Linked DNA regions of Mus musculus: regions 2, 3, 4, 5 and 6 are each reported to be linked to region 1. The links are microRNA targets in miRTarBase. Many come from high-throughput screens and were not tested one by one. Region 1 holds a microRNA gene; each other region holds the end of a gene's coding sequence.

The links. Region 1 holds the annotated microRNA mmu-miR-467f (AUAUACACACACACACCUACA, at 1,255-1,275, shown strand). A microRNA usually pairs through its seed, bases 2 to 8, with sites in the 3' UTR of a target mRNA and lowers its output. Matches are read on the target gene's strand: a 7mer-m8 pairs with bases 2 to 8, a 7mer-A1 pairs with bases 2 to 7 and ends in A, and an 8mer does both.
Region 2: the mRNA of Itpk1 is a reported target of mmu-miR-467f. The part of its 3' UTR that is shown has no 7-base or 8-base seed match.
Region 3: miRTarBase lists Rufy2 as a target of mmu-miR-467f. Seed matches in the 3' UTR shown: 7mer-m8 at 2,820-2,826.
Region 4: miRTarBase lists Gse1 as a target of mmu-miR-467f. Seed matches in the 3' UTR shown: 7mer-m8 at 3,906-3,912.
Region 5: miRTarBase lists Trim62 as a target of mmu-miR-467f. The part of its 3' UTR that is shown has no 7-base or 8-base seed match.
Region 6: miRTarBase lists Mtpn as a target of mmu-miR-467f. Seed matches in the 3' UTR shown: 7mer-m8 at 2,445-2,451 and 7mer-m8 at 1,621-1,627.

The regions. Positions count from the first base shown.
Region 1 is chr11:69,631,487-69,636,693 of GRCm38, reverse strand. It overlaps Mir467f (microRNA 467f), which reads left to right and starts at 1,175; the gene lies at 1,175-1,294. Fxr2 (fragile X mental retardation, autosomal homolog 2) reads right to left here and starts at 3,723. Exons shown (of 17, transcript NM_011814.2): 1 at 3,296-3,723. The coding sequence starts at 3,376.
Region 2 is chr12:102,565,445-102,570,758 of GRCm38, reverse strand. It overlaps Itpk1 (inositol 1,3,4-triphosphate 5/6 kinase), which reads left to right. Exons shown (of 10, transcript NM_172584.3): 10 at 275-2,176. The coding sequence ends at 633. Among named protein-coding and RNA genes, the nearest start is that of Chga, 13 kb to the right of the region's middle.
Region 3 is chr10:63,010,892-63,016,205 of GRCm38, reverse strand. Rufy2 (RUN and FYVE domain-containing 2) reads right to left here. Exons shown (of 18, transcript NM_027425.4): 17 at 4,711-4,788; 18 at 1-4,616. The coding sequence ends at 4,473. It overlaps Hnrnph3 (heterogeneous nuclear ribonucleoprotein H3), which reads left to right. Exons shown (of 10, transcript NM_001079824.1): 8 at 31-126; 9 at 312-404; 10 at 492-1,542. The coding sequence ends at 568. Among named protein-coding and RNA genes, the nearest start is that of Hnrnph3, 10 kb to the left of the region's middle.
Region 4 is chr8:120,577,893-120,583,206 of GRCm38, reverse strand. It overlaps Gse1 (genetic suppressor element 1, coiled-coil protein), which reads right to left. Exons shown (of 16, transcript NM_001145896.1): 15 at 5,133-5,236; 16 at 1,824-4,738. The coding sequence ends at 4,604. Gins2 (GINS complex subunit 2 (Psf2 homolog)) reads left to right here. Exons shown (of 5, transcript NM_178856.1): 4 at 999-1,125; 5 at 1,396-1,941. The coding sequence ends at 1,521. Among named protein-coding and RNA genes, the nearest start is that of Gins2, 8.5 kb to the left of the region's middle.
Region 5 is chr4:128,909,094-128,914,407 of GRCm38, reverse strand. It overlaps Trim62 (tripartite motif-containing 62), which reads right to left. Exons shown (of 5, transcript NM_178110.3): 5 at 3,082-5,314. The coding sequence ends at 4,822. Among named protein-coding and RNA genes, the nearest start is that of Gm33901, 5.6 kb to the left of the region's middle.
Region 6 is chr6:35,507,755-35,513,068 of GRCm38, forward strand. It overlaps Mtpn (myotrophin), which reads right to left. Exons shown (of 4, transcript NM_008098.4): 4 at 1,070-4,563. The coding sequence ends at 4,477. Among named protein-coding and RNA genes, the nearest start is that of Mtpn, 29 kb to the right of the region's middle.

The DNA of each region.
Region 1 (5,207 bases):
GGGAGGAAGGGAAAGGGAAAGGAAGAAAGAAGGAAGAGATCGGAGGAGGGCTACCTGGCTGAGGATGTACTTCAGTGGAAGGCTAAGATGAGACCTCAAGTTCAAGGTTAGCCTTATCAACAAAGCAAGGCTATACAATAAGACCCCATCTTAACAGGTTGGTGGTGGCCTAAACCTTCCAAGGCCAGCCTAGCCTACAGAGTGAGTTCCAGGGCAACACAGGATATCCTGCCCCCCACCCCAAAAAAAAACAACAAAAGACAGAGGCAGGCGGGTTTCTGAGTTTGAGGCTAGCCTGGTCTACAGAATGAGTTACAGGACAGCCAGGGCTACACAGAAAAACCTTGTTTCAAAAAACAAACAAAAACAAAACAAAACACATTATGAAGCTGGGGTTGATGGTGTGCACCTGTAATCCCAGGTCTTAGGAAAGGCCACAGTAAACCAGGAGTCCAAGGTCATCCCGGGTTAAAAGCCCAAGCCACCTGAAACCACCTTAACAAAACACATCACATCCTGACAGAAAAGCCAAGTTTGATAGGATAATTCTAAAATAACTTAGACCTCAGATCTGATATTTACTGGCTCTAGAAAAATCACAGTAAAACAGTTTTGTGAGAGGAGAAAAGAATCTCCCCAAACGTAAAAGATCTAAAAAGTTAGTATCCCTTACTCACACCAAAGTTTGCTGAGTCATAAATATTAATCAGCAAGGTTTGAATAGGTAAGTATCTACATTACACTTAGGCAATGTCTTTAACTCAGTCATGGAGCAGAAAGTGCTGAAGTGGCCAGAATACAAAATCTACACTCAATATTTGGCTTTTATTAACTCTATACTATCAAAGAATCCTGTCCCTGCTTCCCTCAAATCTATCACTGCTCTGGCCCACAGAATAAAAGGATAAAAGAGAGACTTTCTGTTGGATACCCATATGTGTAACAGAATTCATGTCCCAGCCCAACCATGTCATACAGTTAATTGGAACTGAGCACTCATCTGTCCCAGCTGTGCATGGCTCCTGAGCTTCCTTAAACCAAATGCAAATATCTTATCTTGATCTCATACTCAATTTAAGAACCACTTTTCAAACTAAGAGTAGTTGTGGATGCTTTTAATCCCAGCACTCAACAAAGGCAGACCTATCCCACAGAGTTTGAGTTCAGGGCAGCCACGGCTACATAGAGAAATCCTGTACCCAGAAATCGAACGGGGGTGGGTGTGTGTGTAGGTGTGTGTGTGTGTATGTATGTATATACACACACACACCTACACACAGCTTTTTTGGAATTTTTAACATTTTGATGTTAGAAGGATACAGATGAAGACTAACATATCGAGGAAAAGAGAGCATAATAAAGAGTACTTTTTGGGTTTGTTTGGGTTGTTTTAGACTGGATTCCATTCCCCATGCTGGTTTTGAACTTCAACAATCCTACTTTAGCCTTCTAAGTACTAGGGTTAGAGTATGTACCACCATACCCAGCCTGAGGAGACTGTTTTAACAAAGGTAATACAAATGTGGGTGAAATAGATATTAAAACATTAATGTGTCCTCTCAGAAGCCAAAAGAATTAAAGACTTTTGCTACAGAAAACAGAAATGTTAGAGACACTGTTCTGGTCTGAAGAAAAAGTACCAAGAGTTAGGAAAGTGACAGAATCAGCTAGGAGCCTTCTTCAGCTATACACAGACTAGACAGGTAGACATCATCAAGGATACACAGGAATACAGAAATACCAAGCTAAAAAGACCGAGACTTAGTTGAGAAGCTGCATTAAAGCTAATAGGTATGTGCACCCATAGGCACTGGGTAAAGAACTTGATCAGAAAAGGGAAAAAAATGGCCTGGCCTTTATAATGGATAACTAGCATATCAGTTGAAGTGAGGGTAGGAACCATCTACAGGGGTAGGGCAAACCTAAGTCTTTTTTCAGCTACAAAAAAGATACAATTTCATAGTAGAGTCAGAGAAAGTTATTTCCAAGGGCATAAGAAAGTAGAAGTTCTACTAGGGTAGGGGGACAGACAACCTGAGGAAACCTGAAGAAAAAGGGGCTCTTCTCACCCATCTCATGCTATGGAAATTCCTCTTTCTCTCCAGGATGAAGAGTAAGAGAGGGACCAAACGTGTCCGGGACAATTCCACTCATAAAAGTCAAAAGATGTTCAGAACCCCACTGATCAGAAGAAGAAAATATCTGGGGCGTGGGATCCAGAATAGACTCAGGACAGATACAGAAGATGGGGTGGGTGGTGGATAGAAAGAAGGAAAAAACAAAAGTCTGGTCTGGCATGGTGGCTCAACCAGTAACGCCAGAGCTGTAATCCTAGGCTGAGGAAGAGTTCAAGTGCAGCCAGGGAGGGGATCTTGTCCCAACCACACCCCTTAAAAAAGTTCACAGGAATCAAATCTTAGGCAAAGAAAAAGCTGATTAAAGAAGCAATTCTGAAAGATACTTTTTTTCTTTCCAGAAGGATTGTCAACAAGCAGAAATCTGTTAGAATAAGAACTTGTTGAGATGGCCTTTGAGAGACAGTGAAGCTTAAACTTACCAAGAAGATAGAGGAATGACCTAAATATATCTAGAGTCAAAGAGATAAGCGTGAATCCATCCCTCATAGGTGATTTTGGAATATAGGTGTGGTGGGTGACAAACTTGTCCAACAAATCCACTTTATGGCTGGCTGATAAAAACCTGAGGCCAAAGATGCTAATGCTAAATAACACAGATGGGTTTTGACCATTTCTTGTCAGCCTGGGAACAGGAATTTAAGACCAAAAGTTGAGCAAATGGTCTAGAGCCAGTAGGCAGAAGGCTCCCTGAAGACCTAATGTGGGACAGTGGACCTTCCCAAGGGGGTCATGTAGGAAAAGAATGCGAATCCTCCATGTGCTTGGGCTGCAGGGGTGATGTGATTAAAAGCTGAAGTATCGCCTACACTAAAAAAAAAAAAAAAAAAAAAAAAAAAAAAAAAAAAAAAAAACAAGAAAAGTCGATTAGAAGCTAGGAAAAGGGCTTTCTCCAAAGGGACCCGGGGCTCCCATCCCCGCACAGGAATGACCTGATGGCCATGTTTTCAGCTGATAAAAGCAGGTGTAACAGCGAGCTCAAAATAAAAGCACGAGGGTTAACTCCCACGATCGCCACGGGAGGGTTTCGAGTGGGAACGTGGGTCGAAGGTTCTAAGGGTCAAGACCAAGCTCCAGAAACTCGATCCCGCTCCACTCTTCCCTGCCTCGGCTGGGGGAGGGGGCTAAGGAGGGTGGCCCGGGTCGACGCGCCGTCTCACCTTGTAGAAGGCCCCGTTGGAGCCCCGCACCTCGACGGGCAGTCCCGGCTCCACATCCCCCCCAGAGGCCAGGCCGCCCATGGCGCCGCCACCACCTCCGACTGGCCCGGCAGCAGCTGAAACAGAGCCCTGAGTGCGGGCCGGGCCGGGTCCCCGGCGTCTCCCTGGAGGAGGAGCCGGAGGGGGAGCCGCGGGGGGCGGGAGCCGGGCCGGCCCCACGGCGGCCCTGCTACAGCCGACGAGCAGGGGGCCGGGGCCGGGCCGCTCCCCGTCCGCCGCCGCCGCCGCTGCCTTGGTCTCCGCCACCGTGAGGGAAACGGCCGCCGCCGCCGCCGCCGCCTTCGTCACCTCAGCTTCCGCCCGCCGGCGCCCCCGCTGCTGCCTCGGTCCCGGGACCCGCCGCTGCCGCTCCACGGCCTCCACCTCCCCCTGCTGCCGCCGCCTACTGCGCAGGCGCACAGGGCACCCGCCCGCCGCGCGCGGAGCCGGAGGGCCAAGGCGCAGGCGTCTAGGCTAGCGACCCAGCTCCCGCTCGCCAGCGCGTCAGGGCTTCCACATTCTCTTGCACTCTCTCACGCCCCCTCCTGGTCGCCTCTCTGCGCTTGCGCAGAACGAGGCGAACGCTCTCTGTACCACTCCAACCTTCCACTGTCCCTGTCCCTTCCTTTCCCCGCCCCACAACACTGGAAGCAAACCAATCAAAGGGAGAGGGGGGCCGCGCTCGCTGCATCGGATTGGACTTCCGCCTCCACAAAGTGAGCCCCATGGAGCCTGGGCAATTTAGGGATGGGCATGCGCCCGAATGACTGCTTGGTCACTTTCACCACCTTTGTCTTTCTTGGTGCGCACACTCCAAAAAGGGGGGGGGGGGGGGAACCAAAAGGCAAAAACTGCCCAGTGCGCAGGCGCTGGGCTTTGGTGTCCATGCGCATGTGTTGACTCTCTGCATCCATAGGAGAATCAAGAGTCACTGTTGTTGGCTTAAGTAGACTTTTTTTTTTTTTTTTTTTTTTTTTTTTTTTAAGTTTTGTGAGACAGGGTCTCTTGTGTCCTAGGCTGACCATGAACTAACTAGGTAGTGGGGGAATGACCTTGAATAGGTCCTCCAACCTCCACCTCCCAAGTGCAAAAATTACAGCCATGTCATTACCATGCTTGCCCTAAGTTGACTAGTATTCTAGTAAATTTAGTGCCGTATGAAAAACAAAATGCCACATAACTTGATGCATAAATTCTGAGGGGATTCAATACAGGAAAAACTGTCATGGAGTAACAAAAGAGAGAGAGAGAGATGGCTCGAATACGAAGCTTAACGGGAATTGTATTCCTAGACCACAAAATGGAAGGAGATATCCTCCTGCAAGTTGTCTCCTGAACATCATACATATAACATCACTCGTGGTCACCCACACGTATAACAGATTTTTTTTTTTTTTTTGTAAAAATAAGGGGTGTGAGGTGGAGAGATGGCTCAGTGGTTAAGAGCACTGACTACTCTTCCAGAGGTATTGAGTTAAATTCCCAGCAACCCCATGGTGGCTCACAATCATCTATAATGGGAACTGGTACCCTATTCTGGTGTATTTGAAAACAGCAATAGTGTACTCATATACATTAAATAAATACTTAACAAAATAAAATAGGATCAGTGTTCAAACTACAGGTTGTGTCGTCAAGATTTAAGCTGCCACCACAATGATTGAGGCTGCTAACAACAACCTTCTTGGAAAGGAAGTCAGGGTTAAATGCAACACAGATGACACCATCAGAAACTTGAAGAACTTGATAGCGGCCCAATGGTACAGGAGTTTGAAGGACCACGTGTCTCTGGGAGATTATCAAATCCACAGTGGGATGAACCAGAGCTCTGTGACCAAGAAAGGGAGATTCCTCCTCCTCCCCCAGCCCTGCC
Region 2 (5,314 bases), not on the chromosome of region 1:
CTACAGCAGTTGGTGAGCAAGGGCTGTCCCTAGCAAGACAAGATTTCATTTTTTATCTGCTGGAGGTGTGGGCCTCTCATGCTCAGGGGACAGACTGTGGTCTAGCCAGCCTGTGGACCATGTACACCCTGCCTTGTCTGCCAAACCTGAGTTTCCTTTGTCAGTGGGGTACTGGAAGTGCCTCCTCAGGTCCCAGGAGCCCGTTATGTCTGCTTCTTTCTCCTCTCCTATCCCCTGGCTAATGCCCAGTGCCTGCTTTGTCTCCCATCTCCAGGCTATGAAGGAGTGAGTGAGTTCTTTACCGACCTCCTGAACCACATTGCCACAGTTCTGCAAGGCCAGAGCACGGGAGGAGCTGCCACGGAGGAAGTGGCCCCGCTAAGGCACAACAGGCTCCTGGCGGAACCGGCAGGCAGCCTGGCTGGGGAGCGGACGTGCAGTGCCAGCCCTGGCTGCTGTGGCAGCATGAAGGGCCAGGACACACCCTGGAAGACTGAGACCGAAGCAGGCAACATGGGCGCTGGTGCTTCCGCCAAGCTGCCGCACCAGAGACTTGGCTGCACCACTGGCGTATCACCCAGCTTCCAGCAGCACTGTGTGGCCTCTCTGGCCACCAAGGCTTCCTCACAGTAGCCACAGAGCCCAGGACCCAGAGGGGCAGAGCGTGGAAAATGCCCACTGGGCCAGCAGCTCCACATGGGAACACTACTAAGAATTCCTGGTGATCTGAGGCTTCTCTGTTTTAATTTTTTACCTGATTTTCTGATGTTATGATCGGAATGAAGGGGGGGAGACAGAGCAGAACATCAAGTGGCCCAGCCTCGAGGACGCCGCCTGACTCCTGCTGTGCAGAGGTCCTCACTGAGTTTACACACGCTTGTGTTCTCAACACTAGGTCTGAATGTGAGGGGGGGGGGTGCGTGTGTGTGTGTGTGTGTGTGTGTGTGTGTGTGTGTGTGTTTGTCATGGCAAGGGTGAGTGTGCATGTCTGTCTTCATGGCTGTTGTGGGCCAGGCTCTGGGCACCGAGGAAGGAAGCCCATATCTGGCCAGGCTGTTGCAGCTAAGCAGGCGAAGGACGAACGGTTTTCCCAGTTCCCCTCCTCTTCACACCTGCCCACACCCAGACCTCACCCTCCCTCTTGTCCCAGATGTGCTCTCCTCCAAGGCTAACCCTTGCCCCCCCACCTCGCTCTCCAAAGCCAGGGAAGCAGTAGACGCCCCCTCGGGAGCTCTGCATGGAGGATCTGGGTTGTAGGAAGGGAAAGGAGCTTCCTGTGGGTGTAGCCGAAGCCCACTGGCTATTGCTAGTCTTCACTGGCTCGTGGAATACAGCAGGCCACTATCCACCCTACCCTGACCCTATTGCTCACTGAGATCCAGGAAGGAGCCATCTGACTAGGAGTCCAGGAGTCTGCCAGGACCCAGGATTTACCCTGGGACTTCCAACAGATCATTCCGTGAGTCTTCAGGCCTCCACCACCTCATCTCTTCAGGGTGGCTCCTGAAACAGAGAACTGAAGGCCTGGTCTAGTGGTCTAGCCCACGAGGATCTCTGCTTCCTCATGTCATCATCCGGTCCCTCTTTTCAGGTGAGAGGAGACCACCCACAGGGCTGCTCCTGTTCACACGCGACAGCCCCTCCTGGAACAGCAAGGCCCAGCTCCTTCCTGCTGTGTTCATAGCGAGTCCCTTGCACTGAGCACCAGGCAAGCCCCCAAGGGAGTTGTGCCCCATTTCAGACTCACTCTGACCCCACAGCAGCTGGCAGACCACCCACTGGCCCCAAAGCCCACAGGAAAGGACCCCTGTGGAGCCCCAGGTCAGCAGCCCAGGACCCCCAAGGGTGATCTTGTGTCTTAAGACATCAGCTCACTATGTAAAGAGAATGAGGCCTCTGGGTTGTCCTTAGGTCTAATAAGATAGAGTACACTAGAAGCAGCAGCCCTGGGAAGGCCACTAAGGGCCATGCAGGGGCATCCTTTGGGCAAGGAGAAGCCGATTGGCTTCCTCGGAAGCAGAGCCCCAGGACTAACCACGTTTACAGGACCTGAGTGTTGAACTGATTGATGTCTGTAAGTCACCTTCCCAGGCCTGACCCTGAAAACAGGGGGTGGGAAGCGTGGCCGCCTCTTGCACTGCTTTGTCTCCGGAATAAACTACTGAGATCAAACCGCATTCTGTACGTGGTCACAGTCTTTAAAGAGAAGACATTTAATGACAGCTTTGCCCTTTCAGAGTAGAATCACCAGACTCTGCCTTGAGAACAAGCAGAGTGGGCAGTGCTGCGTCCCCTGGAGCTCCTTCCTCTACAGGGTCACACATGGTAAACCAGCCCCGGTTATCAAGTACCTGCCTCCTGGCCAGGCAGCATTCTCCACGGGTCAGGTCTCCCGTGCAGGAATAGAGGAGGGTGGGCAGGTGAACTTTCCAGGACTGGAAACAGGAACAGAAACCTGGGCCACCTGCATTCTTGCAGACACTTTAATGATACAGAAATGGACCTTTGTAAACATTGACCCTGAACAGCACTAGTTGCTAGTGTCTGTCATCACCAAAGGAGCCGAGAGGGATCTTCCCTGGGACTGGGTCGTTGTGGGTGTCATGGAAGAGTGGGTGGGGCCTGCCACACACCATGGGTAAGCTAGCCTGGAAAATTGGACCCTCCGAATCCCCAAGGCTAAGGGGACCATCCCCTACAGCTCCATCACTGGAGGAAGAAACCACCGTGAGTGCGCATTGCCCTGAGGCTGCTGAGCATGCTCCACAGGGAGTTGGTGGGGGTGCTGGAGAGATGGCTCAGTGGTTAAGAGCGCTTGCTATGTAGTGGTGAGGTTTGGAGATCCCAGCAGCTGCATAACAAGCCAGGCATCCGCACACTAACTCCAGCTCAGGAGTGTAGGGGACAGAGACGGAGGAATCACTGGGGCTTGCTGGCTTCCAGCGTAGCTAGGAAAATATGAACCCCAAGTTCAGGGAGAAACCCTATATTAAAGCAGTGGGCAGAGAGTAATCCAGCCCTTTTTTGGTCTTGGAGCATTTATAGATAGCCCCAAAGGCCAGAGCAAGAACCTGGGTTTCTTTTTTTCATTATTATTATCAGTAGTAGTAGTAGTGGTAGTGGTAGTGGTAGTGGTAGTGGTAGTGGTAGTAGTAGTAGTAGTACACTGTAGCTGTCTTCAGACACCCCAGAAGAGGGCATCAGATCTTACGGATGGTTGTGAGCCACCATGTGGTTCCTGGGATTTGAACTCGGGACCTTCGAAAGAGCAGTCAGTGCTCTTAACTGCTGAGCCATCTCTCCAGCCCTGAAGCTGGGGCAAGTGGTGTCTGCTGGCCAGGCGTTCAGAGACAAAAGGACAATGTCATCCTTCTGACATGACCACTAGTCCTTGTCTGTAGTCGAGAGCAGTCACACTGGTTGCTGGCTGTAGAGCCACCAGATGGCTTTACTGGTGTTCTGGAAAGGGTTCCCTGCCCTTTTATATTTCTTCTCAATCAGTCACTTAGCCAGTGGGATTCCAGCAACATTCCCCACCCCAGCATGCTGGGCCTGCTGCACCTGTCACTTCAGAGCCCTGAAGCTAGCCTGAAAGAGCCTGCTCCTCCAGTGTGGATGGACAGGTGCCATGGCCCTCTGTGGGAACCCCTGGGGTCCAGGAGCCCACAGTTTGGATAGCTCTGTTGTGACTGCTGCTGCTCAGCTGGCTCCCGCTCAGATGATGGCTGTAAGGCGGCTCCACAGATTCTCCCCTCATGGTAAAGACCTATGACTCACTTCCTTTCCTCTCCCAAGCCAATGCCAGTACACTCTGGGGATGACCCCTTTCAGTGCTCTGTGCAGAGAAGGACTGACCTCCATAGCAGCATGACCCTCCTGCTTGGGTCCTCTTCCTTCTGCTTGTGACTAGGAAGTACTAGCCAGTTCTCAAGAGTCCGTTGCAGGAATGATTGAGTTTTCTGATTCCTGGGTTTAATGGCATCTTAGAAGGGCTGGCTACTTACTGCAGGACATAGGAGATAATAGTTCCCTGAGGCTCCCTAATTGACAGCTCACCCAGGGTCCATACAGAGCTTTCCTACCCCAGAAGCTGAGTTGTGTCCATGATGGCTGCAGCTTCCTCTCCCATTAATCGTGTGCACATCAGTATATCACGTACACTTGGCCCTGTACTGCCTACAAAGCTGGCTGTCAGTGCCTGCCTGGGCTGCATCTTTGCTTCCCATGATACAATGCAGGTGGCTTGCCTTTGGGATGGGGTCCTTTGGTGACATGGTGTCCGTTGCCACTTAAAGTCTTAGTTGGTGGATATTCTTGGTCTCTGGTGGCCTTGTGGGAGTTTGTGTAATTAACTATCAGGAGGCATAACATGAAGAAAGCCCCGCCTCAGCAGTGACATCATACAGATGTCTCCACCTCAGGGGCAGGCTTTCGTTGGCAGGAGAGCCTCACATAGGCTGACTGCTAAGACCACATGGTTAGCATCATCATCACCACCTGGTTTTCAGTTGAGGTACACAGAGAACGGGATGAGGTAACGTTCCTGTCTGAAGCTGACCCCAGCAGAGGCACACACAAGCCCGTCACACGAGAGGCTGCTTTGCCCATAGAAGGATGTTACTTATCCCTGAGGCCATGGGTTTCCAAAGCCAGGCTTCATCATGGGTTCCATGTGCAGGCGTGCTTGGTGAGTGACTGAATGATTGGTCCTGGTAGCCAGCATCCATAGGTGCAGTACCACATCCCAGCCTGGCCTGATTGAATAACCTACAAAAGTCTTAAGTTTGGTGTGTTGAGGCTCAGCGGTTGAGAGCACTTATTGCTCCTGCAAAGGACCTAGGTTCAGTTCCCAGCATCCACATGGTGGTTCACAACCATCCATAACTTCAGTTACACGGGACCCAAAGGCACCAGACAGCACATGGTGCACAGGCATGCAGGTAAAACACACATAAAATAAATAAATCTAAAAAAGAAAAAAAAAAGTTTGGTGGTATGTCAGTAGGGCTGTGGTAGTGCACGCCTTTAATCTCAGCACTTGCAGAGGCAGGTAGGTGGATCTCTGAGTTCTAGGCCAGCTAGTTCCTGGACAGCCAAGTCTACACAAAGAAACCCTGTCTTGGAAAAACATAAAGGGGGGGGGGGGGTCAGCTCTACCTGTGACTTCAATGTGCCGTTTTATCTTCCCTGCCTGTTTCCCTCTTTAAAAATTGGACCTAAGACCTGCTATTTTCTAGTAAATTGTCCCTGCCTTACTCTTCAGACATCCTGTGGTCCCATGCATACCACAAGCTGTGGTCATGGGCACGGTGGA
Region 3 (5,314 bases), not on the chromosome of region 1:
TCCACCCATCTTTTTTTTTTTTTTTAAAAGAACATCGATACATTGAACTCTTCTTGAATTCTACTCCTGGAGGTGGCTCTGGAATGGGAGGTTCTGGAATGGGAGGCTATGGCAGAGATGGAATGGGTATGTATAGTTTTGTATTTGTGATGGGTAGCACCTCACTGTAACACAGGATGGCCCAAAACTCACAATTCTCCTTGATGCTTCAGCATATCCTTCCAAACCTAGGTTTGTAAATTGTGTAGAATGAGCAAGTGTTGGCCACTCCACAAGGCAGTCATCCTCTGTGGCTTCTTTTCTGTGTGCAGATAATCAAGGAGGATACGGGTCTGTTGGGAGAATGGGGATGGGGAACAGCTACAGCGGAGGCTACGGTGCTCCTGATGGCTTGGGAGGCTATGGTAAGTAGTTGTTTCTGTATTGTGGTAGTGTCCTTCATTTAAAGACATGGATGTCTCCTGATGGACGGTTCTTACTGTCTTCTTAAGGTCGTGGTGGTGGAGGCAGTGGAGGTTACTATGGGCAAGGTGGAATGAGTGGAGGTGGATGGCGTGGGATGTACTGACAACACCACCCCAACGTACACGTCCTAACACACCTGCTCTACTAGACTTTCTTACAGATTTCATTTCTTTTGTATTTCAAGAACTTTATAACGACTGAAGGAATGTGTTATATTATTTGGTAAAGCAACAGACTGCGATGGGAAAATCTGTTTTCTGTAGGTTGTTTCATTTGTTGCATACTTTGACTTAAATAAATTTTTATATTCAAACCACTGATGTTGCTACTTTTTATATATAGGTACTCCTAAAGATGTGCTGCCTTCATAAGATTTGGGATAATGTATCTTACTGTTAGCATAGTGCAGTGATAGAGGGCAAGACAGCGAGTCTTAAGTAGGCATCTAGGGTAGCACTACCTTTCACCCCTGGACATACTGTAAATAAAAAGCCTAAAGATACGTTCAGGTGGTTTCAGGAACATAAGCTAATTCTGTATTCTTTTCGGTCTCTTTTATCAAGCATAGCTCTGAATAATTCAAGACGTATCTGGATTCTAAATATTCACAAATTGTATTATGAATGGGGGTAGGGGTATAAAACCCTCATAGCACTTGACTAAGATACCAAAAATGGTTCCCAAAACTTGAGTTTGTTGGAGTAGTTTGAAATTCTTAATAATGACAGAAAAACTCTGTAAATACACGGGCATTTACTATAATGGGTATATGCTTACTTGTATTTTCAGTTTCTCACCCAAGAAAACAGGGTCTTTATAATGGTATAAATGACTACATTTAGGAGACTATAAAACAATGCTGTAGCTGGTTTTGCGTCTGAAACTGGCTTTGAGTAGTTAAGTGCCCTGTGTAGAAGGAAAACGTGCTTTCTACTAATCTTTTTATTACTTTGCTCAATAAGACTTTTCCCCAAATTGGCTAATGGATCAAAATGAACCTGTCAGTGTGATCTCAGTTATTGAGTTACTTGTTTTTTGCTAGATATGTTATTAATGTAATAAATGTCAACATGGGAATGTTGTCTGTCCTAGAATATGTTGTGTTAGTTATTGGTATCAAGTATCACCATGCCTTTAATCCCAGCATTTGGGAAGCAAAGGCAATATACTGTTGGATGCCAAATTGAGGTTTCTGATCAAGTAACTACAAAGGCGTGATTTTTTTTTCCCCCATGCTAAGAAGAGAGAGTTGCCACAGCATGTCACTTGGAGCCTGTCGGCCTGAAACAGTGAGTTTCTGTCTTAATGGGTTTAACTTGGTGCCTGCACACCTCGCACAGAAGTCACAAGCACTTCAAGCTTCTTACATCTCAAAGCAGGTGGCTAAAGAGTACTTCAGTAGGTAGAGTGGTTAAGAGTACGTGCTGCGGGCTGGAGAGATGCTCGGCGGTTAAAGCACTGGCTGCTCTTCCAGGTCCTGCGTTCAATTCCCAGCAACCACACGGAGGCTCAGCCCTCTGTAACAGGATCTGTTGCCCTCTTCTGGTGTGTCTGAAGTCAGCTACAGTGTACTCATATACATAAATAAATAAAGAGTACTCGCTGCTCTTTCAGAGGGCCGTTTGGTTCCCAGCACCCACATCAGGTGATCAGCCTCGCTTAAGTCCAATGCCTTTTCCTGGCCTCGTTGGTCACCTGCACACACATGGCACACATTCACACACACATAAGCAGATACAAACAAGTCTTTTAAAGCAATATAAGTAAGTGTTAATTTCTTAGATCTTCGATTTATAAAATTCACATTTATTTTAAAAACATTACAGATCAGAATTACATTTGCAATTCCTTGGCACCATGATCACATCTTTGTGGTAGTACTGGCTAGGTAAGTAAGGGAATGACACGAGTTTTCTGCAAAATAAGAATTGTGAATGTTATGTAATAAATAGGATATCCTAAATTTAAAGTTGGGTGGTTTTATGTTTTTTGGTGGTAGTGCTGTGAATTGAGAATCCAGGCCCTTAATAGCCACGATAAGCAACCATTCTACCACTCAGCTCTATTCTTATCTCACACACAGCAGGGGAACTCGTTAGTGCTGCTCCAGAAAAGGCCCATGTTTATGACACAAATTTTGAGTGGTAATAAAAAGCACATAATAAAGTATTTGAAGTTTTTCATTTACACTCAAAAAAAAAAAAAGAAAGAAAGAAAGAAAGATGCTAGTAATCCCCATCAGTACAAAGCAGTTAAATTGTCTCTTTTTTGTGTGTGTGCCAGCAGGTTTTCACTATATATATATATATATATATATATATATATATATATATATATATATATATATATATATATATACACACACACACATACATACATACATATATATATATATATATAATGACATCTGGGGTTGGGAGAGTAACTGAGTTAGTAGAGTACCTGGCCAATGTGTACAAAGTATCAGGGGCTCCATCCCCAGCACCACATACAAACACTCAACAGCTGTAATCTCAGCAGCTGGGAGATGTGGAAGTCAGGCAGTTCAAGGTCTTCCCCTGCTGCACACCAGGTTGGAGGCCAACTTGGGGTTTCCCTGTCTCCAAAAGAAACATCTAGAAATCTGTCGGAGTGAATTTAAGTTGACCACAGAAGCTGGTAAATACTGGTTTTGTAATTTTGGCAATTTACAAAAACTTACTGAAATGTAGCAAATGAAAAGATCCTGCAGAAAAGGGGATCAGAAAAATACCCAGTCACTGAGCAGTGTTCTTGGGAGTGTAAAATCACTAGAGTTTTGAAAGGCTTTATAGACTTAAAAGTATAAGGCTGGAAATTAATATATTAAAGATCCTATCCTAAATGGTCATGATTTAAGTAACTTAATGCTCCGTGTCTCCCACACACACCCCCGCTTGAAAAAATAAGGAGCTACTATCTAAAGTACCTAATACACATAGAGGGTGAAATTCTACTGTGGGCAAGCGTAAATATGCCAGTGTAATGCTTCCTAGAAGTTATTCTTAAGAGAACTGAGGGTGGAGAAACTTAATTCTTTCATAGCAGTCCTCTTAATTTTAATGCTTAGAATCAATCTTTAAAGGCCTGTGGTCTCATTCGGTCCCCTTGTTCCCTGGGTAGGAATGTTTTCTCCTTTGGAATCTGACCCTTTATAAAAATTAGTATTTGTGATAAGGATGATGATTATAAGTGAAGGAAAAGCTAGAGGCCAGACCACTGGTCCTTTAGTCCACTATATGAAAGATGTGGGCAAGTAAAAAGGAAAGGAAGGGATTAAATCATTGGTCTTTTCCATTGTAGAGAAGGGAGAAGAACAAGCAAATAAATACAACTAAATTAGCATCTTACCAGACAATGAAGACTACACAGACCTGGGATGGAAGCACACACCTATATCCCAGCACTTCAGAGCTTAGGCAAGACAGCTTATGGTAAAAAATAAACAACTTTGATTCAGTCTGTCTTCCTGGACAGTCTGGCTGTCCTGACTGGAACTTCCTCTTTCTACCAGGGTGGCCTTACTGAACTCAGATCCATCCACCTGCCTCTGCATCTAAGTGCTGGGATTGAAGGCGTGGGCCACCATTTTAAAAACCGTTAAATCGGCATATAACATAAAGTGAATGCATTTCCAGTTTTTCTCTGAGAATTGTGACGCTTTCTAAAGTGCATTAAGAGACAGGCACCTTCAAGTGCCTACTCATCAGTTCAGAAGCAAATAAGCTGTGGCCTTGTTCTCAAAAAGGCCTCTATAAGGTAAGGCAAATGTGCATTAGCTCTGCTATCTGACCTTTTGTTAAAGGTTACTTGATAGTTGAAGTAGTGCTAAAACATGCTATCTTAAAATCTGATTAAGTACAGGGACGGAATACTAACCCATATAACTTAGAAACCTGTTTGTGAGCTGGAGGCAAGGTACAGTACTGACTGGGCACACAGCCCTCCCTCGCTGCAGGTGGTGCTGTGCAGGAGAATGGAGTTCCAAGTCATGGCATGTTAGAGGAGCATCTCTGAATGAGCATTGCATGGCAGGAATCACAGACTCGCACTGGCTTTGGTGAAGAAGGCAAAGGCAGCTCGTTGTCAGAGCAGGCATTACAGAAAATTTCTCCGCAGTTTCTACAGTGGTGCTATTAAATGGAAAAATCCGGGGAAAATAAAACCAAATTAGAAGCCATTTTTGTTGCCACAACGTTTGGAATCATTTTCACTTCTCTTACCTACCTTTCTTTTGGAGAGTGAAAATTCCTTCTCACAAAGCTTACAGTGGGTTGCATCTTTGTCTTTTAACCAGACCAGTCCCTAATATGGAAAGATGAATGTTAATGTTCAAATCAATAACACCTGCTCTTACTTCAGAAGTATGAAAATAGAAAGGCATTCTCCTGTGCACAATTCCTGTGACTCATTTTCACCACTTATGTTCAAAATGAAGGAAAGAAGGCACAAGGCTCAGACAGTAGCTCTCAGAGTTACGTCAGAAACTCGGGACATGCCTGGACAGAAGCGTGTCCAGATGTGGGCAGGGGGCCTGAGTTGAAGACAAAATAATGAACAACCCAGCTTCTACAGGGAACAGTTGATAATGTGCTGGGTTGTCACCGAATGGTAACATTCTGGTCCGGAGTAGAACACCGGGAAATAAAATAGCTGACAGGCAGTTGGCTTCTGGAGAAATGATGAGGGTGGGTGCACCTGGAAGGCTGTGGCACTTCTTGGTCTCTGGGTACAGGGCTCTGCAGGGAAACCCTGCCTCAAAAAATAATAGGGGCAGGAGAGACGGCTCAGCCACTCTAAGAGCACTGACGACTTCTGAAGGTCAAGTTCA
Region 4 (5,314 bases), not on the chromosome of region 1:
TCTCTCAGCCTTTGTGAGACTAGACATACCACTTAAAGGGCTTTGCACGGAGCTTGCCTGGTGGTGATGGATAGTGAGCCTATGTCACTGTTAAAAACCAGGGAGCTGCTGATCTGAGCCAGCCTCCATACCAACTTGAGATAAATTACACAGCAGAGGCTGTTGTTATCCTGAAGGGAGTGTCCCAACTGTCCAATTTCTCAGTTTTCATTTAAAGACATATTCTTATTCCTTTTTAATTCCATGTGTTTGTGTCTGTGTGGTTATGTGTGTGTAAGTGCAGTGCCCAAGGAAACAAGAGCGAATTGGATCTCTTGAAGCTGGAATTTCAGGCGGTTGTTAGCTGCTCCACGGAGGTTGCTGGGAACTGATTTAGGTCCTTTCAAGAGCAGTATGTGCTGGTAACTGCTGAGCTGTCTCTAGCCCCTCCAGTGTGTTATTGTCTACAAGATTTGTACTATCCTGCATGTATGTCCACGTGCTGGGATTATAATTTCCACTCCTGGCTTTTAGTACGTCACTGCTCTGTCATTCTGTGTAGCCACTGGCCATGGCTGCTAAGCTTTACCTGCCGACATCCTAACCCAAGGAAAGAACAGAGCCCCAGGATTCTCTCAAGTCTGTGCGAGGCTCCCCCGACCCCTTTCAAACGGAGTCTCTATGTATCCTTGAACTTCTGATTCTCCTGGCTTCATCCTTCTGAGTTCTAGGGTCACAGTCATGTGCTCAAGCTTCGTTTACAAAGATTCGTTTCTGTGCATGTGGCTGTGACCGACTTCACGTTCCGGGTCCACAGAGGCTAGGATGCATTGTATCTTGGTATAAGCAGTCGGGCATTGCCCGCTGGATGCTGTCAGTGGAACTGGTATCCTCGGGAAGGGCACAAAGCACTAACTGCTAGGCTGTCCTGCCCCTATGCTGCTGTTTGAAGCAGCCATTTCTGCCTGTCCCCGGTAAACTTACTGAGTGCCTCTATATTTCTGCCTCTTTATCTTCAGTGCTTCTGACAACATCCCCAAAGCAGACACCATCCGGACACTGATCAAAGACCTGTGGGACACACGCATGGCCAAGCTTCGAGTGTCTGCTGACAGTTTTGTGCGGCAGCAAGAGGCACATGCCAAGGTAGGCATGGTTCTCCTGTCCCTGCCCGGTGCCAGTGGGCACTGCCTGCCAGTGTGACCGCTTCCCAGGGAGCTGTCAGGCCATGCTGCCTGCTCAGCATGAAACAGGGATTTGAAGCTGTGCTTTGAGCAGTGGCTCACTGGGACTTGGGGGTTTGGCTCTCAGAGCCTGCCTACACCCTCAGTACCAGGAGCCAACAACTCACGGTTGAGCAGTCTAGCTTTGCCTTAAAGCCAAGACTTCCTCCGCTCACTTGCTTTTGTGTTTCAGCTGGACAACCTGACCTTGATGGAGATCAGCAGCAGCGGGGCCTTCCTCACCCAGGCCCTCAACCACATGTACAAGCTCCGCACAAACCTCCAGCCCTCCGAGAGCACCCAGTCGCAGGACTTCTAGCCAGAGGCCTCTGCTGTGCAAACCCTGCTGTGTGCCCTGTGTGGCGGAGATTGGGGGAAGAGTGTGGAACACTGGTAAGGTTGCTGCCCGTCTTTGTCAGAGGTCAGCCATACTGCAAGTTCAACTCCATTGAACAGAGAAGCCGCCAGCCTTTCTCTTCCACCCAAGGACTGCACGCCAAGCACAGCGAGTGTTCGGGCCAGCTCAGCTCAAGTGTCTTCAAGCTTGGCCCGTGGAAAGCTGTATGTAGTTGAGGCTGAGCGTGAGGGTGGGGGTGGTGATACAAAAAGATGAATTTCGTCTTAACATGATTTAGGAAGATTTTATTTTTCGGGATGTCAGAAATTACAGCAATATATTCATAAATACCTAATTACTACATTCAACAAATAATATTACAATACAGTTAATTCAAACAAGTACACTTAGAACGGGTTTAATTTCACAGCATCTAAACTGCCCCCAGAGCGACCGAGGCACCCGTCGGCCCTCCTGCCTGGGTCTGGGTCCAGGGCCCCAGCAGTGAGGCGTAGGGCACACACAAGTACGGAACCAGTGAGATGCCTCCTCGGGTCAAGGCAGCCTCTAGGGTTGAAGTAAGCACTGGATAGACAGTGGGGACAGGCTACAGCAAGTAGTGAAGTCAAAGCTTGCGTACTTGAAAGAGTACAGACTGCTGCTATAAGTGGCTAATGCACACCTCAGAGGTGCTGAGCCTGCTGTGCAGGCCATCTCCATGCTGGGGCCTGGGCAGCTGAGGGCAGGGGCAGGAGGCATCTAGCTTGCAATTTAGCTTAGCTGGTTGAGACTCTCAGTGCTGTGAGCCTGGCTGTACCCTCCCTGCCCCCACTGTTAGGGTGGGGCTTGTTCTGGATGCCCTAGTGGTACAGTCTGGTGTGATGGTGCAGGTGGGTGTTTTTAAGATCACCATGTACCGAAGTGTTGACAGCCTTCTCTCTTGTCACTCATCTGCGATGGTGGCGGGTCTCAATTACATGAGACAAGTGTTTTTAAAAGATCTGATCCGACACCCGTGACTAGCTCGGTGCATCCCACCCAGGACAGATGGCAGCAATCACTTGCAGGTGGAGTGGGAGACATGGTCAAGGACTGGGATTTTTCACATACATGCTGATTTCACAGTCTAGAGCAGATCTATAGCAGGGCTAGGCTGGAGGGATCTCCAGGGACAGTGTGGTACCTGGGAAGGGGGCTACTGTGGTCTTGTTAGCCTCATCTGGCTCTAAGACTGTGGGATGGGAAGAATGCCGTATGTGGGCTGAGTGGCAGTCATCTGCCGCTTTACTGGCTTGTACCTGGTTCTGATTGTCACTTTACTTCTGAGCATGGGGATATTCGGTCTCCAGATGCTAGAGGTGGCCCTAGAAGCTCCAGGGCAGGCAAGGGCATTGGGAAAGGCTGTAGGCATTGCTAGTCAGCGGCTCAGCTTGTGCCCCAGACTGACCTGGGAGGGCATCGCTTGCTCTGGATGGCATACTCAGCCAGAGGAACTCCTGTGGGACAATGGAAGGGACTGTGCGTGTCTTTAAGTTATGGGTTCTGCCTTTCCCAGGAGACATTTACCAAGCAGATTTGCAGAAGCTTCTAGTCATGGAGGTGGGGTGAGCTTGGGAAAGCAGCACTGGGCACAAGCAGCATTTAACTGGGAAGTCGGGCAGGACTCGGCCCAGGGTGTGCGGCCTCTGCCCTCCTTTGGATCGTTTTCTCTGACTGGCTGTGGGCAGAGGAAGGTGCTTTGCTGACAGGCCTGGTGGCACTGCCTTGTCTGAGTTTGCTGAGAACCAGAGGGGTGCGGGTAGGGGCAGGGGTGGAGCAGGGACAGATGTCAGCCAGCTGCTCTGTACAGCCACTGAGCCTGGTGGCTAAGGGTGGGCTCGGCCTCCTCTTCCCCTGTCCGATGGAGGACAGTCGGAGGCTCTTTTCAAGTTGGTCAGCCCTGACTGAAGTGCTGAAACTGGGAAGGAGATCCCTTAGCGTTGAGCTTTCTGCCAGAGCTGTGCCTGTCTCCGGAGCTCAGCTCCTCACAGCTTTGCCGAGTCCCTGCCGCACATGGGTCATCTGCTTTGGAGAGCAGGCAGCCCTAGGCCCCTCAGCCCTGCTGTGTGGGACACTGCACAAGCGAGCTCTCCTGCTTCCTAGAACTGAGCAGTTAACAACATTCTGACCAGCAGCAGTACAAACACTAAAAGCAAGGTTTTCTTTTTTTTTAAATCCAGAAAAACAGAAACAAACAAACAAAAAAACCAAAGAAAACCCCCAAACAGGAAAAACAAACAAAATTCCCCAAACCACATATTAAAAATGGCAGGCTTTTTATAACAATAATTAAAGTAATAAAAACATACAAAACTTTTTTTTTAATATATACACAGTACAAGGCTGAAGCACCTTTGACTTTTCTCTCAAAACGTACGTTTGTATGAAAACACCACACACGGCGGTAGCAATCCAGTGGGTAGGCTATCTGTGGACAGCTCCACGCATCTTCCCCAAGGAAAACAAGGTACTTTTGGGTGTGGGTTTGCCTCTTTTCCTAAGAGCTGTTCCAGGGAGAAGCTTGTGTGCTCCCAGGAGCAGTGGCTTCGATGATGACGCTTGCGGGAAGGCGACAGACGGACGGGACTGATGGGGAGCCCTTTGCTTGTACGCACCCAGCCTTCCCGGCGCATTAGTCCCGCTCCTGGCAGGAAGAGGTTAAACCCCAGGGCCGCAGCAACAGCAAGCTGGGCTCTCGTGGCACAGCTATACCAGAAACAACCAGCTGGCTCTCTCCCTCAGCCACATGCACGGTGGACGTCAGTGTCGGAGGAGGATGACGTGGGGGGAGAGAGGAAATAACGCCGACCTCAGAAAGAGAAACTGAGTCCTAGCTGAGACAGGTGCCTCGGTGACATTGGCGTCGAGGTGATCTCCTCTCTGGAGCCTGGAACCCTTTGTTTCATGCATGGCACGTTCTCAATTTGTAAGCTTCAAACCTCCCAGTGAAAAATATTAAATATTCAAGGTAATAAAATAGATAATATTTCTATACTATAGGTTCAGCCTAGTGCAAGGGAAACCGTCACCTCGGATATCCCTTAAAGTAGCCCCTAGGCCAGTGCATGGTGGGCAAGGCAAGGCACTTCCGCAAGTGGTCCAGCTCCGCCTGGAGCCGCTCCCGCTCAGAGACCATCTTCTGTTTCTGACTCCGAAGCTCCTGGGGAGAAGATGCGCGTCAGAACCATCTGTACACACAGCAGCGTGAGTGACCTCTGGAGGTTGCTAGAACATTCTTCCGGCACCACAGGCTCCCAGAGAACCAGTGTGTACTGCTGCCTCAGCTCAGGCTCTGAATCCCAGGTCCGACCGGCCCCGCACATGTGCCCACCCTGGGGCGGGCACAAGGGCCTCTCCTCAGATAACATCTCTTTATTCCTAACACAGGACCTTACTATGCGTCCCAGGCTGACCCCAACTGACCTCAACCTCCCAGATCTGCCTGTCCCCTGGGGGCTAAAGCATGGCGAGTATGCCTGGCACTGAGTTCTGATTTCTCGGGAGCAGACCTGTCCTCTCTGGGGGTGCCTGTACAAAGCCCATGGCCGACTCACCGCCATGCTGTGAGACAGCTGCTCCGCAGTCAGGCTGAGGCTGTAGTTCTGCGCCTCCAACCGCCGGCACTGCGTCTGCAGCACCTGCCGCTCCAGGTTTTGCTCTGAAAAGACAAGAGGTGGCGATGTGTCATCCTCTTAGGAGGCAGCGTGTCTTCAAACCATGCAGCGTGTTCTTTGCT
Region 5 (5,314 bases), not on the chromosome of region 1:
GTTTTGAGATAGAGTCTTATCAAGATCTGCCAGTCTCCCCCCACTCTCCCTGGTGCTGGGCCTACAGATATGGGCTGATGCTCTTAGCTTTGGTGTGTGTTCTACGGATTCATATCCATGTTCTCATGCTTGCACCACAAGCGCTTTGCCCACTGAGCTATCTCCCCAACTACTGGAAGACTGTTCTGTATTTAGGGCAAATATATATATATACATACACACATACAGAAGAGAAAATGAGCATTTCAAAAGAAAGGCATTGGTCTTTCCCCTGGTATTTCTGTGCAGCCCACTTCTGTCCTGCCTCTCAAGACCCTTCCTCCTTCAGGTGGTCCAGAATTTGCAGAATTAGGACCTAGTGGACAGTTAGGATCTGGTTCAGCACCTCGGCCAGCTCCCATCTCCTCCCCCTTGGCCTTCACCCAGCCCCCAGGATTTAAGCCCGTGACTCAGGCCTTTGCAACCGACCTCTTGGTGTGGTGGTCCTGGTTCTAGCTGAGCTGGTGGTGAGCTTGGGGCTGTTGAACAGAGCTGAGAGACCCAGGCAGGAGGGGAGGAATCTGTCCATGTGAGCAGTCGGCCTCTTGGGATGGCCTCCCTGGCAGGAGGAAAGGCCTGTCCCCAGAGCCTCTGAGGTGAGCTGGGTACTGCCAAGAGACTTTATCTTTGTTGTTTTCTGTCTCTGCCACCACCCCAGAGAGAGGGACAAAGAGATAATAGCCTCATTTATTGGGGACCAAATAGTCCAAGCTGTGGGACCCAATATTTCACTTACCCTGGTAATCGAGGTGATCTCTGAACTCTCCCCAGTAGACATGGGGAAACTGAGGCCAGCGAGGGTAAGGAACCTGCTCAAAGTCACACAGTGGGCTTCATGAGCTTTAAACCATAGGGACCTTGGTTCAAAGCCCCTCTGAAGCCCAGGAGCCTAGTCCTGGTGGCTGCCCATCACGGAGCAGTCCTCAGCGTAGAGAACATCCCTCCAGAGAGGTCCAGTGGAGTGTGGCTTTAGTGATAACGGGCCTGCTACTAGCCCTGCCGAGGAACAGCTGTGGATCCCCTGGGAAGCGTTGCTTCGTGGTTCTAACGCTAAGATAATGACACTATCCTCATGGGCTCCTCTCTGTGGCTAGATGAAATGTAAAGTGTACTAGCACTTTGCTTACAGGCCGTGTATGGGGACCCACAATGAGCCCGAGACAATCAATTAGTCCTTCCCTGCAGCCTCCCCTCTCAACTGCGTTGTGATCCTGACAATCCCAAGATCCCCTTCCCTGTATTCCTTCCCCATATCCTTTCCCCAAGTCTCACTCTGTAGTCCAGGCTTCTGACTCCAGTTGTCTTAGTCAGGGTTTCTATTCCTGCACAAACATCATGACCAAGAAGCAAGTTGGGGTGGAAAGGGTTTATTCGGCTTACACTTCCATACTGCTGTTCATCACCAAGGAAGTCAGGACTGGAACTCAAGCAGGTCAGAAAGCAGGAGCAGATGCAGAGGCCATGGAGGGATGTTCTTTACTGGCTTGCCTCCCCTGGCTTGCTCAGCCTGCTCTCTTATAAAACCCAGAGATGGTCCCACCCACAAGGGGCCTTTCCCCCTTGATCACTAATTGAGAAAATGCCTTACAGTTTGATCTCATGGAGGCATTTCCTCAACTGAAGCTCCTTTCTCTGTGATAACTCCAGCTGTGTCAAGTTGACACAAAACTAGCCAGTACACCAGTGCTGAATTTTTTTGGTCTCTAGTGCGCGCACGCATACACACACACACACACACACACACACACACACACACACACCATGTCCCTCTGCCTAGAAACAATCCAGGACCTAGTATGGAGTTTTTCATCCTACCTCTACCATACAAAGACACAGCTGGTATCTGAGAGGGTCTGATCTAGTCTTCGAGTAAGGAGAGGAAGAAATATCACTTTACGGTAGCACGAATCAATGAAAAGCCAGGATTAGACCCCGAGATTCCTGTTCTTACATTGCAGAGCTGTAGAGGACCAGGCAGACCTCTGGCTCACCATGGTCACAGCCTGAGTGAGTGAGCGCTCATGGGCAGGGCCCTGCTGGACTTTGGCCGGGCTGCTTCCCCATCACTTAGAGGCAGGACCTCCTTCTCTGTGTACCTTGTCCCATGCTCCGCACAGCGTACAGGAGAAAGGTGGACTTCTCACTGGTCAAGGTAGCGCAGGTTAGAATGTCTATGTTGTTTCGGGTGTGACTGCAGGAGGCAGTGGAGGAGAGGCAGGGCCTCCGTGACTGTACATTTTACAGCTTCCTAGTAAAACATGTGAACTGCAAGCTATTAGCCCCATTCTCCGAGGGGAGTCATTGAGGCCCCACGAGGTTAAGTTGTTTTTCCTAGAGTGAAGCCTGATAGAGCCCAAGCCTATATAGTTTAAGAGACCAGACTCTTTTCTGCCTTCCTGGCTACCCCGTTGTACTGGCTAGTTTTGTGTCAACTTGACCCAGCTGGAGTTATCACAGAGAAGGGAGCTTCAGTTGAGGAAATGCCTCCATGAGATCCAACTGTAAGGCATTTTCTCAATTAGTGATCAAGGGGGAAAGGCCCCTTGTGGGTGGGACCATCTCTGGCTAGTAGTCTTGGTTCTATAAGAGAGCAGGCTGAGCAAGCCAGTAAAGAACATCCCTCCATGGCCTCTGCATCAGCTCCTGGTTTCTGACCTGCTTGGGTTCCAGTCCTGACTTCCTTGGTGATGAACAGCAGCATGGAAGTGTAAGCCGAATAAACCCTTTCCTCCCCAACTTGCTTCTTGGTTATGATGTTTGTGCAGGAATAGAAACCCTGACTAAGACACCCATTCTCCCCTAGGCAGAGACGAGGTCTTCCCTGATTGATGAGGGTGCTGGCCGAGAACTCAGATCTCACTGTCCAGTGTGGGCTGTGGGCTTCTCAGCCGTCACATCCTCTCTCTGGACTTCACTGTGCTCCTGATCTGTATCCAGCAGGGCTGCCTTGGGGAACTGGACTGGCCGTGCCAATGACTGTCCCCTTCCTGAGGGTGGAACATCGCTTTGCGTTCGTCGGAATGAATGGAACGTACACCTGTGCCCTGTAACTTTAATTTAATACAAACTGATCAGAATGCACAAAAGGGGCCATGTTTTAAATAAAAATACTGCCAGGCGTGGCCTGGTGTCTGGGAGTTGAGAGGAAGAGCAGGACTCAGGATTCTTCTTGCTCAGGGGGGGCTAGCACATGGCAGTTGTGAGTGAGAACCCCTCAAGTTCATATTCTGGCTCACCGGAGATGGACATGCTCACTGAATCCCAAGTACAGAATTGAGGACCTGGGGCAACAAAGGAAGGCCCAGGCTGGGAAGTCATTTTGTCTCTATTTCTGATGCTACTGATTCCCTAAGTTGTTGCCTCTGGGCAGGGACAGGCAGGGACAGGCAGGGACAGGCAGGGACAGAGTCACGGAGCAGGACATTTTTAGCAGTTCTGTTTCAAAGCCAAGGCCTTCAGGTGGATTCATGGATTCTCCTGAGTTCTTCACAGTTGGATTCATTGGCAAGGAAATTGTGGATGGATCTATTCCACCTCCATGATAACTTTGTGGCTGAGGCTGGAAGAGGAAAAACTACATTTCTCAGAGTGCTTTGCAGTCAAAGTCTAGGTTCTGGACTCAAGTTTCCACAAAAAGAATCCCTCTGAAAGATGTAGAACTGGGACCCGAGTTGGGGGGTGTGGTGTGGTGGGACAGACACGGACAATAACTTTCTGGCGTGGATGGTGGCAGCCAGCAGCTTGTGGGGCAGCTGCAAATGGAAGCACCATTCTGGTCACAAGACACAAACCCTCTAGATGGTGGGAGCTGTTCCTGGAAACTCTGGCAAAGGCTGTCCTCTTCCATCCCTTTCAGTGATCTTGCAAGTCACCAGGGAGCTGACTGCAAATTCTTGTCTGATGAAGTCAACTAAGGCGGCTATTGTTTGTGCCTCAGGATCCTAAGGGAGCCAGATGTCAAGTCCAGGGTGGTACCCGATAACAATCTCCTGGGCTTCAGGTCCTGACGGAAAAAAAGCTGCTGCCAGCACCCTCTCCGTCCATGCAGTAGGTCAGAGACCTGTGTGATGAGGATTGTAGGACCTCTGTCCCCAGGGGCTGTTGGGGACTTGGATCATCCATTGGTGCTTTGTCCTGATGGTGTTCTTCTATATGGGTTTCTAGGGTCCTTATACCTCACTCTGCCCCAGAATCCATGGGCTAGAAGGTAATGGTATGTTGTGAGCTACCTGTCTTGTGTGACTTGCAGATCAGTGAGAGAGGAGGAAACCCACAGTTCTCGGCTTGGAGCACGGGTAGCAAGAGAGGGTGACTCTCAAATAATCCAGCTTCTGCCAAGCTCCCCTAAGGAATTGGATCCAAAGTAAAATGGCCCATAGCTCTCCTGGTCAAGGGTGAGTCAATTCTTAGGCATAAGAGGATTTTGTATACCTTTTGGGCTGCTAGCTACTGATCACATCTGACCTGTCACGATGCTAGGTTAGCTGGGCAGGAGGAGGGGAACAGAGAGCTTCCCTGTTCCTGAGAGAATGGGGATGAGGGGTTGGGCAAGGGCTGCCCTGGGGAGAAGCCATGTCACATCCCATTAAGATCAGAGCCACAGGGCATCAACCACGGAGTGCAATCTCCAGCTCGCAGAAGGGGAGGAGGAGGGGACAAACAGTTGGCCTGAGGTCTCAGGGTGGCCACAGTGGGCCTGAGCAGTCCAGGTCCTCCATCTGTCAGGCAAGGCTCTTGCTGGTGGTCACAGCCCCAGGAGGCTTTGGTCTCCCTCTGCCCAGATTAGATGCGGACGGTGTTGATCCGCAGTGGTTGGACGTTCTTGCCATTGGCGTGGCTCTGGCCGGGGCTGAAGTAGGAGCAGAGCTTGCCAGGAAACTTCTCTCGGAAGGTGTAGAGCCAGGACATGTCATCGGCGTTGTAGAAGATGAGGAGGCCCTGGTCATAGTCCAGGAAGACGCCCACCTTGTCAAGCTTGTCACGGACGTTGAGCCTAGTCCAGGGCTCTGTGCAGGCGCTGTACTGGTTACCGTCATGCATAACGATGCAGTAGAAGCCGCGGCTAGGCTGAATCTGGATGCTGCCTTTGCGACTGGCAGCCTCATGGGCCAGCCCAATCACCCACTGGGTCTTCTCCGCCACCACCACCTCCCAGTAGTGGACACCGCTACTGAAGGCTTCAGAGCCCAGCACCGACACCTCTACGTCAAAGCGCTTTGGTGAGTCCTGCAGTGGTTGTGGGTGTAGGTTCCCGTAGGCCACGATGGTGCAGTCA
Region 6 (5,314 bases), not on the chromosome of region 1:
TTGGGTAAGGCACAGGTCTCAGGAATTCAGCTGTGGAGATTGTAACTTCTGGCTTATGAACTACAGAAATACTGACGAGAACTGGTATGACATACATTACTAAAAAAAATAAAGAATCTTTCTCAGCACTATACATCCTTAGGTTCATAGTTTAACCTTTCGGCCAAGAGATAATCCTTAAGCTCATTTTAAATTTTCTTGGGTGTAGAGAACTTCATTCACAATGACCATCTATTCCTTACCCTGGGAACCATGTCTGATGATGATCCTATTTGATGAGTTCTCTCTTTATGGCTCTTTTCAGGGTTCTTTCTCCTCAGTGTACATCAAAATCCCCCAGAAGTCCAGCCCCAAAGTTGATTAAATAGGTCTCAGTTGGGATTTGTTAAATTTGCATTTATATCATAATTTTTAAAGTTGTGGCAATGTGGCTGGCTAGGAACCACATTCAGAGACCCTGAAGACAGATGGAGAATACTATACTGTGCAGTGGGAAAGTTCTGTGTAGCTGCTCTCTAAAGACAAAAGAAATGATGTGTTAAACTCACTTTTCTTTGCAGGTATGCCTTCCACCCACACCTACCAGTTTGCTCTTAAAGTGTTATATAAGAGGCTCTATTCCCTTTATAGTGCATTTAATCAGACTGAAGCCTTTTCGTATAGACTTTGATTCTTAAAATGAAAATTTTATCTGAAAAAAATTCTGTGAATACATTTACCCTAAGCTATATCAGCTCTTTATACTTTAGTCAACAATAGGGCTTGCAGTATCTTAGCACTTATGTGTTTTGTTTCTTGATTTTAATTAATGGGTACCTTTAATAAGTCTTCTGGTATCAACAAGACTTCAATAGACTCAAACCAATTTCATCTATAATCTGGTACAGTTTTGAGATTCAAAGAGAGCGTTCAAGCAGAAAAGTACACTCTAAAATGTAGTTCTCTAGGAAACAAGCAGCAACCTGAGCAATGAAAGGCTCAGGAGCACAGCCCATCATCCGATTTTCAACATTAATCAAAACTCTGATGCTCTACTGGCTGTGTCTTGTTCTCAGTTAATAGGAGGCTTCCTGGACCCATATACAGCAACAATGTGTATCAGAAAACTTATATTGAAGTTAAAAAAAAAAGCTTTTCTATGAGCAGCATCTAGTATCGTTAGCTCTTTAATAATTGGTTTCTTCATTTCTTCTAGAAGTAGGATAAAATGGTATTAAAATCTCAAGTTAGTCAAGATTTTCATATCGTTAAGGACGTCTGGAAAGGAAGGCAACAGTGACTGGGGATAAATATGTTGCTAACATGTTATCTATAGCACAATTCAAGTTTATTCCATTTGTTCTTGCAACACGAAACTTAAACACAGTATTAGTTAGCATTCGGATGTACATGAACTAGGATACTTATGAGAAACCCAACTGTGTCAAGGGAATGACATTGTGGAAACATGAACTCAAATATACCAAAAGTGCACAAAGCACTAGTCTTCCTCCATACTGCTTAGAAAGATTGTTTCTCCATTTACAAAATAGAATCAGGACAATTTAAATTTTTTTAAATTTGCATGCAAAACACTGCAATTGCTTATTTATGAAGGAGGGCACTCTTACCAGCTTCTTCTATACACAACCCAGTATACAATATTACATGAAGGAAACAGCAGCTCAGCTGAAGTGAATAAAAATCAAGTACACATATATTGAAGCTCCTTTTATCTGGCTGGGGAAAGAAAGAAATGACTAGAAGGCTACTTGTTTTAGCTTTCACATGCTGCAGTTACTGCCTTTCTTCTGCGCCCAGCTGGTTCTGGAAAGGTGAGCTTGTGCACATGGGATATGCAAGTGCTGTGTTAGAACTCAAATCTACATATGCTGGCATGAAGCTGGGGGTGAGGGTAGGGGTGGGCAGACCTGTTAGTACACTAACCATGTTCAGGCAAGTAACCTGTTTTTGATACAGTGCATATGAAATGATGGATTTTAATATAAAACTATAGAACATGCAGGGTTTTTTTCTGAGATGTTAAATAGTACTTCAGTGGAAAACAAAACTTAACCTTTTATTAATGCGTGTTGTACCAAAAGCAGACATTTTAGCTTCATTTATTCAAAAATATTAACATTAAGTGTCATGAATTTCTCTGCCAAGTGGTTCAGAAATACATTATAAATAACCTAGTTTTTTTTTTGTTTATTTTTGTTTATTATTTTTTTAAAGAAACTGTAAACCATCCTGGTCAGTCTATCCTAGTCTATGTTTATATGCTATTTTCTCAAGCAATCACTTCATAGCTATGGGTTTACAAAATGGCCAACAAAGGGGGAAGGCAAAATAGCCTCTACTGCATTACAAGGAACACTGGGATAAACTGTACAAAGAATCATATGGTTTTGGTACCATAATGACTGTAGAAAGCAGACCCAAGTTCTGGAATGATAAGACAATATACACTCTGCAATAGCCAACTATAACAGAAGACTTTGAAAGAAAAATTGAAAATTGTGTAAAGGGTAAAATTCAAGCCTTTAAAATAGTATGCCAAGAGGTGAAAACAAAGGTCTCAAAACACCCTGTTGCATTATATTGACTCATAGACTGATCATGTGCCTTCCACTTCCTAGCAGAATGTCCAACTCTATAGCTGCTTGGCCTTTTGGTTAAGATTAAGTGTAGGATATCCAACTCTAGTAGGCTGCATTAAAACAGCAGAGCTAGCCAAATATATCAAAGTATTTAAACTACTGTTTTGTGATTGTTTTCTTGGACATAGAAAAACTACAGGGGCAGGCTAGTTGAAAGTGAAAAAGCCACAGGATAAAAAAGAGTTCATGGGAGAACACACACACACACACACACACACACACACACACACACACACACCCCAACCAATTATCAACTGATTAATAGTTATTAGCCAGGCTGATTGTTCTTAGTAATAGTTTAACCCTGCTATATAATGCTACAATGCCTTAAAAAAAATCAGTTAGGTTTTTAATATTATTATCCCTAATGTGATTATAAGTCCCTATCCCATCACCTACCCTTTAAAAATTTGAGGTACATTCAATTATTGCATGATTGGCTATGGAAAGATTCTAATAGTTTTTGTAATCCTGTATAGATGGCAAATTAAAAGCAAAAGACATCTTAATACTTAAAGTGTAGGCCATCAAATTTAAGGTTGTATGTTTTAATTCATTTTATTGTTCATGAAAGAAAAAGTTAGAGATAAGTTTCTCTTATCTGCAGGTCCTAGGAATACCGTTTTAGGGCACTGTATTATAAGAACACAGAATGCATTTTGAAGTTGTCACATGTATGCAAAGAATGATTGTTAAGATAAAAACACCATGCAGGTGGGGTGGTACTGGCCCAGCAAGAGTCTATTACCAGCTCAGGAGAACATGGTAACAAGAATGTTTTTGAAGGGATGAGGTCCCATCTGTCCAAATACAGTACATCTCACCCCAGTGATACCTTTGGTGCACTATAAAATCAGCATCCATGGTGGGTTTTTGAGAGGCATTCCAAAGAATATTCTTCATTCTCCAAACACAACGAAGGCTGGCTCACTCAAATAGCAAATGAAGAAACTCCATAGGTACTAAGACAACTGTTCTCTCTTTATAAGATACTAACACGCTTATGGCTATGATTTTATTTTTAAATCTCCTTTACTACCAGAAGGAGTCTCAAAGTGTTTCAATGTTATATAAATGTCTGAGTCTAAAGGAGAAAAAAAGAAATAAGCCTACTGGAATGATTCCTCCTTTAGGCTCCTAGAATTTAACATTTTATAAATAAAACTAGTCAGTTTTATCTAAAGAGACATGAAATTGATGTGAAAGGGGAGAGAAAATCCAAAGTTTAGTCATCCAGCAATTCAGGAGTGCGCTGCTCCTTACCTTATCTAAGCTCTTATGTAAAGATTAACGTCATTCTAGAGAGATTTTGGTCACTAACCGCTCTTAACTAGCCAGGAGCCCCCAGGAGAGTGCATTCTTAAGGCAGAAGGCTATAGCTAATTGCTTATCTCAGCACCCTATGTTGACATAACAGCAGCCACTACTGCTCACAGCTAGGGCTACCAAATAAGTAGAGTTGGCCTTGTATAGTCAGACCTTCAATAAACTAATTAATAAATTAGCTAGGGAGCTGAGAAGGTCCAATGATTCCAATAGACTGTATTTTTGCTCTCCCTTGGGAATAAGCTGTATATTTTACTGGAAATGAAAAACAGGCTGGTTTGATCAGGAATCCCAGTAAAAGTCTCATCACATTCCCCACTGCTCCTCCAAAACATGTTTTATTCCCCTCCCCTGGCAGTCTGATTTGTTATGAATTTCTCTCTCCCTTCACCCTCTTAAAGTATTTAGCTGAAGAAGCTGGCAGATAGAAAGTGACAGACAGACAGGCAGCAGTGTGAGGCCACAGGAGAGTCATCCTTCCCAAGTTATCAGTCCGTCCATCCATCTATCACTGGAGAAGAGCTTTGATTGCCTGGTTGTCAGTGGCTTCAAGGGCGGTCAGTCCATCTGGGCCTTTCACAGTCTTATCAGCACCCTGAAAAAGAGAGGAGAGAACCTTCTTTAACTGAACTTACACTAGGGAACAGCAAGTGCCAGAGGTGGCTATGTGGCATAGGCCTTTTTTATACTCTGATTCCTAGAATCCATGGTGGAAGGCCTGAACCAACTCTGGACAGTTGTCTTCTGTCCTTCATACTGAGCTATAACACATACATGGCTATACTCACATACATACAATAATAAGATAAAAATATTTTAAAATGCATTTTTTTGGTGTTAGAAATTATAAGAAACAAAACAACTGTCTTAATTACTGTTTTGTTGCTGTAAAGAAACACCATGACCAAGGCAACTTATAGAAAAAAGCATCTAATTGGGGGCTTGCTTAAAGTTTTAGAGAGGTAGTCAATGACCATTATGGTAGGAAGGAATGAGAGCAGGCATGACACTAGAGGAGTAGCTGAGAGCTTACATCTGATTCATAAATCCAGATTGAGAGATTGGGAATGGTGTAGGTTTTGGAAATCTCAAAGCCCAACTGCAGTGACACATCTCCTCCAAGGTTACACATACTAATCTTTCCTACCACCAACCAGGGACCAAGCATCAAATAAGACCCTATGGGGTGACCATAGAGAGTTGGAGCTCACTTAACCGTAGTCAACTTCACTTAGATCAAACAACTGAAAGATCCTTGCTCTTCAAAGTTTTCCACTTCCCAGGTTCTCAATAATTCTCTCACCTGACCAACAGCTTTTCAAAAAGTTCCTATTAGTGTGAATTTC